Pelodiscus sinensis: one gene and its partner. The protein of the gene in region 1 interacts with the protein of each later gene in a pairwise test. Links are inferred from orthologs where the notes say so. Each region holds a gene or a part of one and is shown in the gene's direction. Other genes may lie near its edges.

Region 1 (6,193 bases):
TCAACTTTGGAAGACACAGGGGCCACAGTGATACTCACAGCACATGCCGAGGGCCACAACTTAAATGTGGTTGCAAATACATGCAAATATATATGCAAATATATGCAAATAGCATCTCACACTGATGGTTATGAATAGAAAGATTAAGGCAAAACGTAGGGCCCATCTAAGTCAGCTCTGCTGATATTAATTAAGTGCAATATATACCCAATTTCCACCCATCTGACAGCACTTTTAATGAGCAATGACAGTCCAGGAATTTAACTACTAAAACACATATCAACAGAAGACCATTATATTGACTACTTTTTTGTTTTGGCTCCCACCCATGGGCTGCAAACAAACAGGCCACAGGCCACATGCGGCCCATAGGCCGTGTGTTGAGTAGCCCTGACTTAAAGCAAGGTCAGGGTTTGGTTGTGTCAGGAAAATGGGATGTGCATGGAATGGGATGAATTGCGTCTCAGAAAACCATCCAGAAAAGAAAAAGAATCATAAGGCAGGTAAAAGGGTCTGGCTGGGGGTGCTTCTCCCTCCCCCGAGATTGCCCAAGCCTCTGCACCCTTTAAGGAGAGCAGTGGGCTGCTACAGGAACATTACTGGCTGTTCCTCTTTGTCAGGGAGCAAGGGGGAAAGTGCACAGCTTGCTGCATTCCTCACTCTGGCTGGGGAGTGCAGGGGGCAGATGAACCAGGACTCACACTCCTCCCCAAACAGCATGTGCCTGGAACAGGATTCTCATGAAACCAAACTGAAAAGAGACAGAATCACCAAATCAAGTACAGGCCTCAAAACTGACAAAACAGAGCAAATGTAGGAAATGAGCTCAGGGCAGGCCGAGGGAGGGTAGGGGCTCAGGGCAGGTATGTAGGAGCCACCTCTGTTTGCTGTCTCCAGCACAGGCTGGGTCTAGAGAGGGCTGTGCCTCCGCCCTAACTGTGGAGCTCTGTGCTGGAGCCAGGGGATGGGGGATGCCCCCCCCAACCCCAACTTCATCTGCTCCATGCTGGGACCAGAGGAGGGGGCACCTCTCCCCCAGCATGAGGGATAGCTCAGTGGTTTGAGCATTGGCCTGCTAAACCCAGGGTTGAGTTCAATCCTTGTGGAGGCCATTTGGGGCAAAAATTTGTCAGGGATGGTACTTGGTTCTGCTGTGAAGGCAGGGGACTGGACTCGATGACCTTTCAAGGTCCCTTCCAGTTCTAAGAGATAGGCAATCTCCATTATAAAAATATATATATATATATATATATAAAAAGCCATGGCACCCAACTGAGAGCTGCTACTGCCAGGGGACAGGTGGTCCTGTCCTTACATGGCCTCTCCCCAGATTAACTTGGACCTGCCCCAGCCAGGGGATTTGCACCCCTCTCCAGCTGTGCCCACTGAGCAGCCAGGGAGAGGCACTTCTCACCTGGCTCCAAGCTGCTGAGGTGAGAGAGGGCTGGGGTTGTCCTCAGGGCAGCCTGCAAATTGTCTCCCCCAGCCCAGAGAAATGATTTAAGTGAAGTGGGTACATTTTCAATTTACTTAAACAAAAAATTAACCTGAGCAAGGCTGGGTAAATCTTCTAGTTTATGAATAAGTTGAACAGCAGTGCTCCAGGAACACACCACTATTTATTACTACTCTCTCCCCCCCCCTTCTTTCAAGTGGAGTGCTTGGCAATGTTTTCATGATCATCTAAGGATCCCTCAGTTACCTGAAGGACAAGCCCTTTTCTCTTACTCAGCCTGCCTCCCTCTGCTTATAAACAAATTCCCTGCCCCCAAATACCAAGCTGGGAGCAGCACCAACTCTGGTGTGCTTAAGAGCTGCCTCTGGAGCCAGGGCAGGTGCCAGACCTCAAGTATGAAATCCAGGAGTCCAAACTTTAGGTGGGGCTACAGTCTCCCCCCTCCCCTGCTCCCCTCTTAAATGGCACCCTTGACGGAAGGGGGCAGATACACAGTAGGGCAGGGGGTAAACCATCGAGGCAGTCAGTGTGGAAGCAGCTCTGGAAGCGGTGGGGGTCCATGCGGAGTGGTGGTGGAAGAGTCAGGGAGTGGAGACCTCCCACGTGCTCTGTGCTTGTGTGTGTGTAGAACCACGTGGTCCCGTTTCCTTCCCTTCGGTTTAATGAATGGAGCCTGGCGCTCCCTGAGCGCATGCGCCGTCCCCGCTCTCCTCCCTCCTCGGAGTCGTCCCCGCCCCTCCGGCAGGGACGTCGGCCAATAGCAGCGGCGGCTTCGCAATGTTGTGGTCACGTGGGAGGCCGGGTGTTGTGGCTGCGACGACGGCCCCGCCCGGGCGGGCTCTTTATCGCTCTGGTTGTGGTGCCCGCCCTGCTCTGCCCCCTCCCGCCCCACGCGGCGTGGGCGCTGTCCGCACGGGCCATGCCACTGGTGCGCTACCGGAAGGTGGTGATCCTGGGCTACCGCTCCGTGGGTGAGTGGGGGGGGGGGTCTCCCTGCAGGACCGGGGGGGGGGTGCATGGAGCCGGCGGGGGGAGGGGGGCGATGCACGGGTCGCTTGCGGGGCCCGTGGGCGGGAGGGGCTCTGCAGGGAAGGGGGAAGCCGCGGGGGCTGGCGTGGGGTGGGGAGGGGCTGTGGCTCCTATGTGAGGTGGGGACGAGCAGCCTGCGCTGTGGGTTTCCGGCTTCCTGGCCCAGCTCTCGCACGCTTGGAGCTGATGAGCAGCATCTGTGGCAGGCGGGGGGGGGGGGGGGGGGGGTCTTGCTCAGCTGCCCCCAGGCGCGCCCCGGAGCTGGGGAAGTTATGGCCACTTTCCGGGGTGTGCTGCCCTCTGAGTCTTTGCTGTCTTCCCCCCCCCCCCCCCCCCAGCTGATCCTCCCTCGGGAGGAGCTGGGGGGGGGAAGGGGAGGCTAGGGGTCATGTGGGGTCAGTTTGCCATTCAACCACATGGCCTGCGAGGAGAGGGAGGAAATGACCGGGGTCAGAGGTCGGCCTTGGGAAGTGGCTCATTTCCTTAGATCTAGTTTCTAACATTCAGCTTTAAAAAAAAAAAAGTCTCAGAGGGATAGTCCTGTTAGTCTGTAACTTGTGTGCCTGGGTGCCCAGTCCTAAGGGCCTGCCCTGGGCAGGCAAAGGGGGGGGGGGGCTAGTCTGCTAAAGTCAGAAGCCCCCATCTCCAACAGTGGGTCGGCAGCATGGGGTTTGGGCGAGAGGGTTTAAATCCTGCTTCTGCTCAAACTATTGCCTCTAAACCCCTCACCCCTGACATGGCCAAGCAGAAGGGATGCCCTTAGTGCTGGTGTGAATTTGGAAGCTGAGTTTGGAAGTTCCCAGCACACCTTTATGGGGGTGTACACATGGGTGGCCTTGCCATGTTGGTCTCTGTGAAAGGGCAAGGAGGGGGCTCCTAGCAGCAGCAAAAGTTAAGGGCCTGTCCATTAGGCTCAGGCGGGGGCCCCGGTCTCAAGGACCCTGGTGTAAGGACCCTGGTGTACGTTGTAATTGACTAGCTTCTTAGCTGGCGCGGGCCAGCTGCAGGGGTCTGACTGCCGTGTGCGCTGTGCCTGCCGCATTCACAGCAACACGGTTTCAAATCTCTTCCCTCCAGGTAAAACCTCCCTGGCTCATCAGTTCATCGACGGGGAATTCCTGGAGTGCTATGACCCTACAGTGGAAAGCAGTGAGTCCAGGGCCCTTTTCAGGCTGAGTGAGCCTGTAGTGGGCATTGCATTGCGCTTATTTATCCCCATAGTGCTTAGGGCCCCCACCAAAACTGGCCTCCAGGGGAGGTGTTGTGGAGATTCCCCCCCCCCTTGTTTAAAGATTTGGGGGAATAGAAACACTGAAGTGGGGGGGAGGGGACTTGGCAAAGTGATGCAGCTGAGTCAACAGAGCCTTGTTCAGCACCCATCCACTCGACCAGCCTGCCGGATGCACACGCTGTGGTTCTTGGATAGGTCTAGGAACACGCGGTGTCTAGGGTAGAACTCACAAGTGCTCAGATGCCCATTAAAGTGCCAGCTGTTGGGGATGGGATATGGGAGAAAGTGACTTCCTTGCCTGGAATCCAGAGCCTTCTGCAGGAGGCAGGGCGGGTGGCAGGGTTACCTCCATCAGGGCTCCATCTCTAGCTTCAGGGATCAGCGACCGAGGGCGAGAATCTGGTTCAAGGGGGCCTTTAAGCTGAAAGGCCACGTGCTGCATGTGGGTTGGGGTGGCGGGGGGTGTTTCCTTTTGCGTTTGCTGCAAACCCCTCCCTCCTTCCTGCCCTTGGCTGTTTCTAGCCCCTTCCTGCTTTTCATGAGCCCTCCACCCCCAATAGAGCGAGGCGGTTGGGTGGGCGTTACTGAGGCTTGCCTGTTGTCCGGAAACGCAGCCATTCCTCCGGCTGCACTTAGTGTCTGTGGAGCAGCAGGTCCTGTGTGTGAAATCGCAGGAGAGCTGCTGGGTCCCAGCTAGGCGTAGAGGGTACCACAGGCCAGAGCTTCCCCTTAGCGCATTGTGGAGTCTCTGTGGCTGCCTCATGCTTGCAAATCCACTCTTGGTTGACATCCGCAGAGGAAGCTGCATCCCTTCTGGGGGGAGGAGGGAGGGCAGGATCCGCTGGGACTCCTCCAGCTCAAATGTTTCCAAGTTGGGCTTTGGTTCTGTGCGAAGCCAGCTGGGCAGGACAAACCCAACCGACAGGAGAGCTGATCTAAGCCTGGGGGGACTGGTACAGCCCCCTGGTACCAGCCCAGCAGGACCCACACCAGTGGGGGGAGCTGCATCCGACAGGCTGTGCGCAGAAGCCCAGGGGCTTGTCTCCTAGTCACTGCTCCTTCAGCAACCGGAACCCGGGGCGGGAGCGGATGCCCTTCAGGGATTGATCCTGGGACCTCTGGGTCCAAAGGGCCAGGCTGTTGGCTATGGGGAGGAGTGGACTTGTAAGCCTGTGCCTGGCCTGGCCACCAGAGGGCAGCAGGGAGCGGTCGGGCTGGGTGTGGGGACTGTTCCCTGTAACAGGTCTCTGCGATTGATTCCCCCAGCCTACAACAAAATGCTGATGGTGGGAAAGGATGAATTTCACCTCCAGCTGGTGGATACTGCAGGGCAGGTAAGACCTGGGGGGGAAACGGGTGTAGCTTTCCACATGGTGCTTCCTCCTGACGGGTCTCCCTCTCCACCCCCAAAAGGGATATATGATGCAGCCATCTCTGGCATGGAACCTTTCCCTTATCATGGCAGCCGTTTAGATCAGGAAGGGTGAAATCCTGTCTCAAGACCAGAAGGACAGTTAGGGAGGGGGGTAGAATTTGGTCAGGTCCCTCCCCCCTCCCAAAAATAACACCGTTTCAGTGGTTCTGTGTTTCCAAAGGAATTAACCTCCAGCAGCAGTAGTGTCCTGTAGCATCATGCTGGGGCACTAGCCACCTAGAGAGAAAAGTACCCCCCCCCCCAAAAAAAAACCCACCACCTGGGCTTTCTGTGGTCTGCGGGAGGGTCTCCCACCCATGTGCCAACCTGGCTCGATTCTGTTTAGCGTGGGCTGGGCTCCCGTGTCTCGGCAGGGTGGGATGCTGTAATAAAGTGGGGTGGGGGAAGAAGCTGTCTTGTCTATTTCTCACCCGCCGCTGTTCATGCGACTCTCTCCTGCCCACGGCGCCCCAGGACGAGTACACCATCCTGCCCCATTCCTTCAGCATCGGCATCCACGGCTACGTGCTGGTCTATTCCGTCACCTCGCTCCGAAGGTGAGGGCTCCCCTGGGGGGTGGGATTGGTGCTTGACTGTAGGGGCCGTGAGCTCCGTGTCCTAGGGGCCAGATCTCCAGATCGGAGCAGAGTCGGCTCCAATGGGTGCTGTTCCTGGAGTAGAGGATCCGGAGGGGCCCTTGGCTCCCATGTGTGACTCCAGACAGGTCTCGGGAAGACTGGCCCACCCTGAGCCTACAGGAGGGGAGCAGGGATGGGCTGAGTCCGGAGCGGCCCAGCCCAGGGGTGGAGCAATGCGGCTGCAGCTCTGTGGCTTCTCCTTAGAGTCTGCTCCCTCTCCTCTCTCTGCAGCTTCCAGGTGGTTAAGACCCTTCACAACAGGCTGTATGAAAGCAGAGGGAAAACCAGGTAAGAGTCGCCCTCCCCTGTGCGGGCCCCACCTGTGCTGAAAAGTGGGGAGAGGCTGGCTCCATGGGTGACCCTGCTCCATCCCTGGCTGCTGGACTCCAAACAGGGCATGTACCTGCACCACAAATCCCTCCTCT
Region 2 (6,193 bases), on another chromosome or scaffold:
TTCTTAGAAGAAATAATTCAGATCTTTGTTGACTAAAGAAGATTCCCTGTAAATAATAAATAGATTTTTTTAAGGGTCTATGGGCACTGGAGTTAAAAAGTTACTTTTTAACTAAAGTTGCAGAGCATGAGCACTCCGTAAGGAAAAAACCTTTATAATTTTCATATGCCAATGCTTTGCAGCCAATTTGTCTCCCCATGCCCAATCAGCTGATCATGCATTTTAATATAAAGGACAGTAACTGACCAGAACAAGATCAAGAAAATAAAGTAATTTAATGAACAAAGTAATCATGTTAGTACAGTGAAAAAGTCCAATCTATTCTAGGTGTGGCTGCTGTCAACTGACAAGACTTTTGAACTCTGCAATTCACACTGTTGCAAACCTTATTAGAGTCTACTCTAACCACATGCAGACATTAGAATTCTTAAAGCATCATGCAGCACAACCTCCTAATCAGGGAAAATTAGATTAATCATCCAGGATAAAATCTCTTCACTGACTGTCTTTAGAATGAAAGAGAAAATAGTGGAATTACACTTTTTGTTCTTAGTGCATTAACCTTCCTTCTCACTCAGATCTGTACTTATTTTAGAAATACTTTCTCTACATTCATAAGCAGAAGTTAAAACCCCCCTATTTTTGCAGACCGTGACTCCTCACCCTACTCTTAATACAATGCTCTGATGCTGGGTATATCTACAAAGCAACTGGGATAACAGATACAAGTAAGCATATCTGAGCTAGCTCTAACTGAGCTAACTCACTAAAAATAGCAGACTAGCCACAGGAGTTCAGGCAGCAGTACAAGCTAGCTCAAGTCCATACCTGTGGTTCTAGGAGTACGTATCCCATTCTGCTATCTATGCTGCTGCAACTACATTACAATTTTTCAGCAAGTTAGCTTTATCAAAAGTTATCAAAGCTAACTCAGCCAGGAATGCCTATGTATAGTATAACTGAACTGCCTGATTGCAGTGTAGACACACCCACAATGGTCCAGTGATAGAGATGTAGCCATGTTAGTCTGATCTTGCTAAAAGAAAAGGAAAAACTATGTAGCACCTTAAAGACTAACAAGATGGTTTATTAGGTGATGAGCTTTCGTGGGCCAGACCCACTTCCTCAGATCAAAATCTGGAAGAGAATTGGCATGACCACATATACCAAAGGAATACAATGAAAAAAAAGTGAACACATTATTGTCAGTTTTATAATGAAGTGTCTGAGATGTTTTACATCTGCACTTGAAAGGGAATCCTCTGAACTGTCATTCATGTTAAAATTCGACACTTGCCAACAAGGACTTAACAAACATTTGAACTATCTCACCCATTACCAAGATAGTTTCCCCAATTATCACCTCTAATACCATTAACTCACAAACATCCCACTCTCCCCACCTCTAATATCATCAATTCACAGACACTTACCTTCCTTCCTCCCCCCCCCCCCCCCACATCCCCCTTCTGTTCTGCAATGTGATTTGTGCTTTTCATATTTGTTCATTTTTTTAATTGTATCCTTTGGTATATATGGTTGTGACTACTTTCTTCCATTATTTGATCTGAGGAAGTGGGTCTGGCCCACGAAAGCTCATCATCTAATAAACCATCTTGTTAGTCTTTAAAGTGCTACATTGTCCTGCATTTTGCTTCAACTACCCCAGACTAACACGGCTACATTTCTATCACCATTCTTTTGAAAAAAGGCGTTCTTGAATGCAAACAGGGCTTTTTCGAAAGAGAGCATCCAGACTGCCGGGGTGCGCACTGTGGAAAAAGCAGCTCGCTTTTCCGAAAGAAGAGGCTGCAGTCTAGACACTCTCTTTCGAAAGAGGCTTGTGGTCTAGACGCACCCAAAGCGAGTGCAAAATGCATCCACTTTGTGCGTGGGCAGGGCTGTACAAAGAACTGCGCAAGCAATGGCGAAATATTGCCTGGAGCAGCAGGACGTACACAGGTACGTATTTACATACGTGATTCGCTGGATCTCTCCATTGGGGCATCAGGCGGTGAGATATCTTGTTACAACTAACATGAGAAACTAAGAGTTTAAACGCCTATTTAATGATCCCCCCCCCCCCCCGCCGTTTTAGGGAGTTGGTTTGCTCCACCTCTCCACGTTCGTACAGGGACCCGTCAGAAAACAGCAAAAACTCACCCCCTGAAGGGAAGCCCTCAAGCAAGATGGCGAGACCACTCCTTCCGCCCGTGGCGGTGTTCTGCCGGGGCACGCACTCCGTCACTTCCGGCGCCCTCTCCGGGAGCTCGTAAAGCGCTGCGCATGGGAGTGCGCCCCCGGCTGGTCCCCGAGGGGCTCGCGGCGCGGTCGGGCCGTTGTGGCGCGTGGTGTCAGCAGCGGCGGTTGCTCTGTGGGAGGTGGGTGCCCCGGGGGTCGCAGGGCGGGCTGCGCGCGGACTGTTCTGGGAGGGGAGCCGCATGAACCTCCCCCCGGGCCGCTGCTGTGAGGGCAGCATGAAGGGCAGTAGGGGGGGCCGTGGGGGGCCTGTATGAGAGGGGCCCTGGGGAACGGTGTGGGGGCCCTGGGAGAGGCTGTGGGGGTGGGGAGGGGGCGCTGAGGGGAGGGGGAGAGGCGAAGGCGGGACCCTTGGGAAGCGTGTGGGGGAGGGGTGACGGGGGCACTGTGGGAGTGGCCATGGAGGTGGGAGGGACGCTGGGGGAGGGGCTACAGGCGGTGCCATGGAAGGGGCCATAAGGGGGTGTGCCGGGGGAGGGGCTGTTATGTTTTTTTATGGATTTTAATGGCCCCATGTCATTGGCCCCATTTGCACCACTTTGCCCTCCCTGGTGGCAACACCAACATCGCACCATCCCCCGCTAAGGGTGTTGAGGACTAGTCAACTAGTTGATTCCTCCCCTCCCCTGTACTGCCTCCATAAGATAGAGGCAGCAAAGGGGGGGAAGGGGTATTTCAAAGCCACAGCTCCGCACAGCTGAGCCAGGGATCAGCTGTGCGGTACTGCCTGCAGCCCCAGTACAGCTGATTCACAGCTCAGCTGTGCAGCGCTGCCCTTTCAACATGCCCAAAGTCAGCTGGGGACTCTGCTGCCTCCATGTTTCAAAGGGGGAGCCACGGAGCCTGGGGTCAGCTGGGGAGGCCCCAGTTGATCCTGGGTTCCACTGAAATGCTGTGCGGAACTGGGGTCAGCAGTGAAGCAGCGGAGCTGACCCCGGACTCCAAGTGGCATGCAGCACAGCATGGAGTCCCGGGTCAGCGGGGGACTTATAGTCCCCCACTGACCCGGGGCTCCATGGCTTTGAAATGCACAAGAGCCTCCCACTGGGGACTCTTGTACATTTCAAACAGGCACCTGTGGAGTTCCATGTTCCTCCTTTGAAATGTACAAGAGCCCCAGCAGGGTCTCTTGTACAGTTTGAAGGATGAATGCGGAAGTGCCTGTCGAGTAATCGGTGGAAATTTCATTGACTTACTCAACTAGTCAGTTAACCACATTTTAACATCCCTAATCCCCACCATGCAGGGGTTTATAGTAATCTTCGGTCCTGGAACTAGCAGTGCTAGGGCTGCTTCCATACCCCTTGGCTTGCCGTGGTTTCCATTATGCACATGTTTTACAGTTTGATTCAATGGTTCTTGGCAGCCCCACTATGCAAATCGTTCCAGCACCCCTGGTAGTAACAACTCATTTAAAAATGGTGAATTTCGGAGAAAATTTGTTAGATCTCTGAATGTGGTACAGTACATCTGACTTGACTGCTGATATTGCTGGGCCTATTGGTAAAAGACTGAAAATAAGGGAATGGAGATCATGAGGGCTGAAAGAGTTTCTCTCCGTTCTTCCCATTCCTGGACAGGAGATCTTTCTGGACTGGCTGATGGTTGTCATGTGAACCTTGGTCCTGATCCATACTGAGCATTTCCTTAAACATCTCCCACCACTACTTTAATGCCAGTGGTAGCACTTGTGTAGAGAGGTCACAGTGTAAATAATTAACATGTCATTGAGGGCTGTTCTGACACAGGCTAGGAGGTCACACAATAGTAAAAATGCTCACTGTCATTCTATACTAGAAAATACTGGTGATGAAGCTGCAATGGTGGGAAATACTAAGAAAAAGCACAGTATAGACACAGGATTAGGAAAATTGGGTAGTCTTTATCAGAAGTATTTCACTATCAATAATATTTGGGGGGGTGTTTTAAAAGGAATAAGTTAGGTCTGGGTATATGTACATCAGTTTAAATAGAATTAATTGACAAGTGTTTATAATTAAAGTTAAGTAGATATCAGGAAGTAGAATTGTAAGTTCTTAGATGGTTTCTGTCCTTTTCCAGGTGTTACATAAAGTTTAAAGATGTCGTATATGCTTCCTCACTTACACAATGGCTGGCAAGTAGACCAGGCCATTCTTTCAGAAGAAGACCGTGTGGTGGTCATCCGGTTTGGACATGACTGGGATCCAACTTGTATGAAAATGGATGAAGTTTTATATAGTATTGCTGAGAAGGTAAATGTTGATCGTCATTTGAGATAATTATATGTTTCTGTTCAGCATCTGAAATTATTTGTTTTTTTTAGTCTAAGGCAGTTTCTAAGGGTCTAGGCAATACATCCCACTTCTTCTGTTTCCTAAAAGAACTATATCTACATTGAATGAATGTGAAACAACTATCTACTTCCATAGTCACATGAAATAATTACCCACCATGTTGTTTAATATTTAACTGAATGGAAGCAGTACTACAAAATTCTAAAATTGAGCATCAGTCCTTGAGAATATTTTTCTTTTCTGACTGCTGGTAACTTAACATCTAATAGTCTAGGCCGTTGAAAGGGAAACTAGTTTCATTAATAGAACTGGTATGAACATTACAGGTAAGACTGAGCCATCATAGTCACTTGATACTCAGAATGTGTAATATTAATACACTAGCAACTTCACAGTTCTTTGGAATAGCTTTAAAAGTTTAGATGTTTTGGTATATATAGTTTTATTTTTAAAAGGTAAATTTTGAAATGCATGGAAAGAAATTTACTGAAACTCTATATTCAGGCTTGGCTGAAATTGATGCCACTCCTTTGACTTAGAGCATGCCCTTAGTTATACAAGGTCTGAAATGAATTTTAATCTGTACATATTGAGCCAGTCTCTTGAAGCTGTCTCAGATTGCAGTGATATTCTGTGACAAACCAATCACCCATTTAAGCATCTTAGATATTGAGAAAAAAAATTGAAGTATTGTTTACATAAGTTTGCGATTGGATATATTTTATCCTTTCATGTCCTCTTGGATAATGTTCTTGCATAATAGTGCAACTATACAGAATTCTTAGCAAATTATTTGTTAAACCTCATAAGAAAAAAAAAAAAAAAAAGCAAACTGAAATGAAACAAGAACCTAGTCAGAAAGTCTGCTGTGAATTCACCTTAGTCAACAATTGCTTCCAAAATCATTTGTACAATTCTCTATACGTACAATTTGCTGTGTGCTCCAAATGTGAGGCTGTTTCTTGGCAGTCCTTTCTTGTCTATGGTAGTCTTAAAAAATTGTATTTCTCTTGATCATCTGGTTGTTGAAGCCTTCTGATAATTCTATTGTGCACATATCAAATATTGAGAAATGCAGGATTTAAGTTAAGACATTTCTTTAGCACAGATTCTTTACATTCTGTCTTTATTTATTTTTAATGTTGTGGAAATTGATGGAATATGTATAGGAATAGACTATTATCTACCTTTGGCAGGATTCTTGGCAATTTGGCAGACATACTGGCATTTCAGTTTTTGAGGGGAAAAAGAACAATGTAACTTTTTATTTAAAAATCTCCCTCTGCAGAAATGGCAGGTTAAAGGGGGAGATCCTTCCTCATCCTCTTGCTTACGAGCCATGTTTGGATCTCGCAGCTGTTTTAAAGAGTGAGTAAAAGTTCCAATTGTACAGGTGATTGTAATATAGAGCATAGTACAAAATGTTGCCATGCTAGCTGCCTGCTACACTTGAAGAAAATGTAGGTCTATTTCACTCAGTACTGAGGCAGGACTTTTTAAATTTTCAGTGCATTTTTAGGAAGTAGTAAGGAAGTACTTTATAATCACTGTGCAGTTGAATTTTATTGACCCGACTTTTCTATTTTGGCAAAAGAAACAAGAACAACAAGAACAAATTGCCAAAATGTAAAGTAGATTGTTACTGCTACTGTATCCTT

Evidence for each region.
Region 2: the proteins of RHEBL1 (region 1) and TXNL4A interact in a two-hybrid assay, tested with the Homo sapiens proteins (2 studies listed by BioGRID and IntAct). The link is inferred for Pelodiscus sinensis from reciprocal best matches to the Homo sapiens genes RHEBL1 and TXNL4A.

Annotation. Positions count from the first base shown.
Region 1 is NC_134729.1:4,913,120-4,919,312, forward strand, and holds the start of RHEBL1 (GTPase RhebL1), read left to right. Parts: upstream 1-2,231; 5' UTR 2,232-2,375; coding exon 2,376-2,427; intron 2,428-3,562; coding exon 3,563-3,634; intron 3,635-4,982; coding exon 4,983-5,050; intron 5,051-5,604; coding exon 5,605-5,687; intron 5,688-5,999; coding exon 6,000-6,056; intron 6,057-6,193.
Region 2 is NC_134712.1:100,807,961-100,814,153, reverse strand, and holds the start of TXNL4A (thioredoxin-like protein 4A), read left to right. Parts: upstream 1-2,245; 5' UTR 2,246-2,381; intron 2,382-4,320; 5' UTR 4,321-4,340; coding exon 4,341-4,493; intron 4,494-5,823; exon of another isoform or gene 5,824-5,903; intron 5,904-6,193. Other genes in the region: putative 2-ketogluconate reductase, read right to left, coding at 1,979-2,008. UniProt on the Homo sapiens protein: Plays a role in pre-mRNA splicing as component of the U5 snRNP and U4/U6-U5 tri-snRNP complexes that are involved in spliceosome assembly, and as component of the precatalytic spliceosome (spliceosome B complex).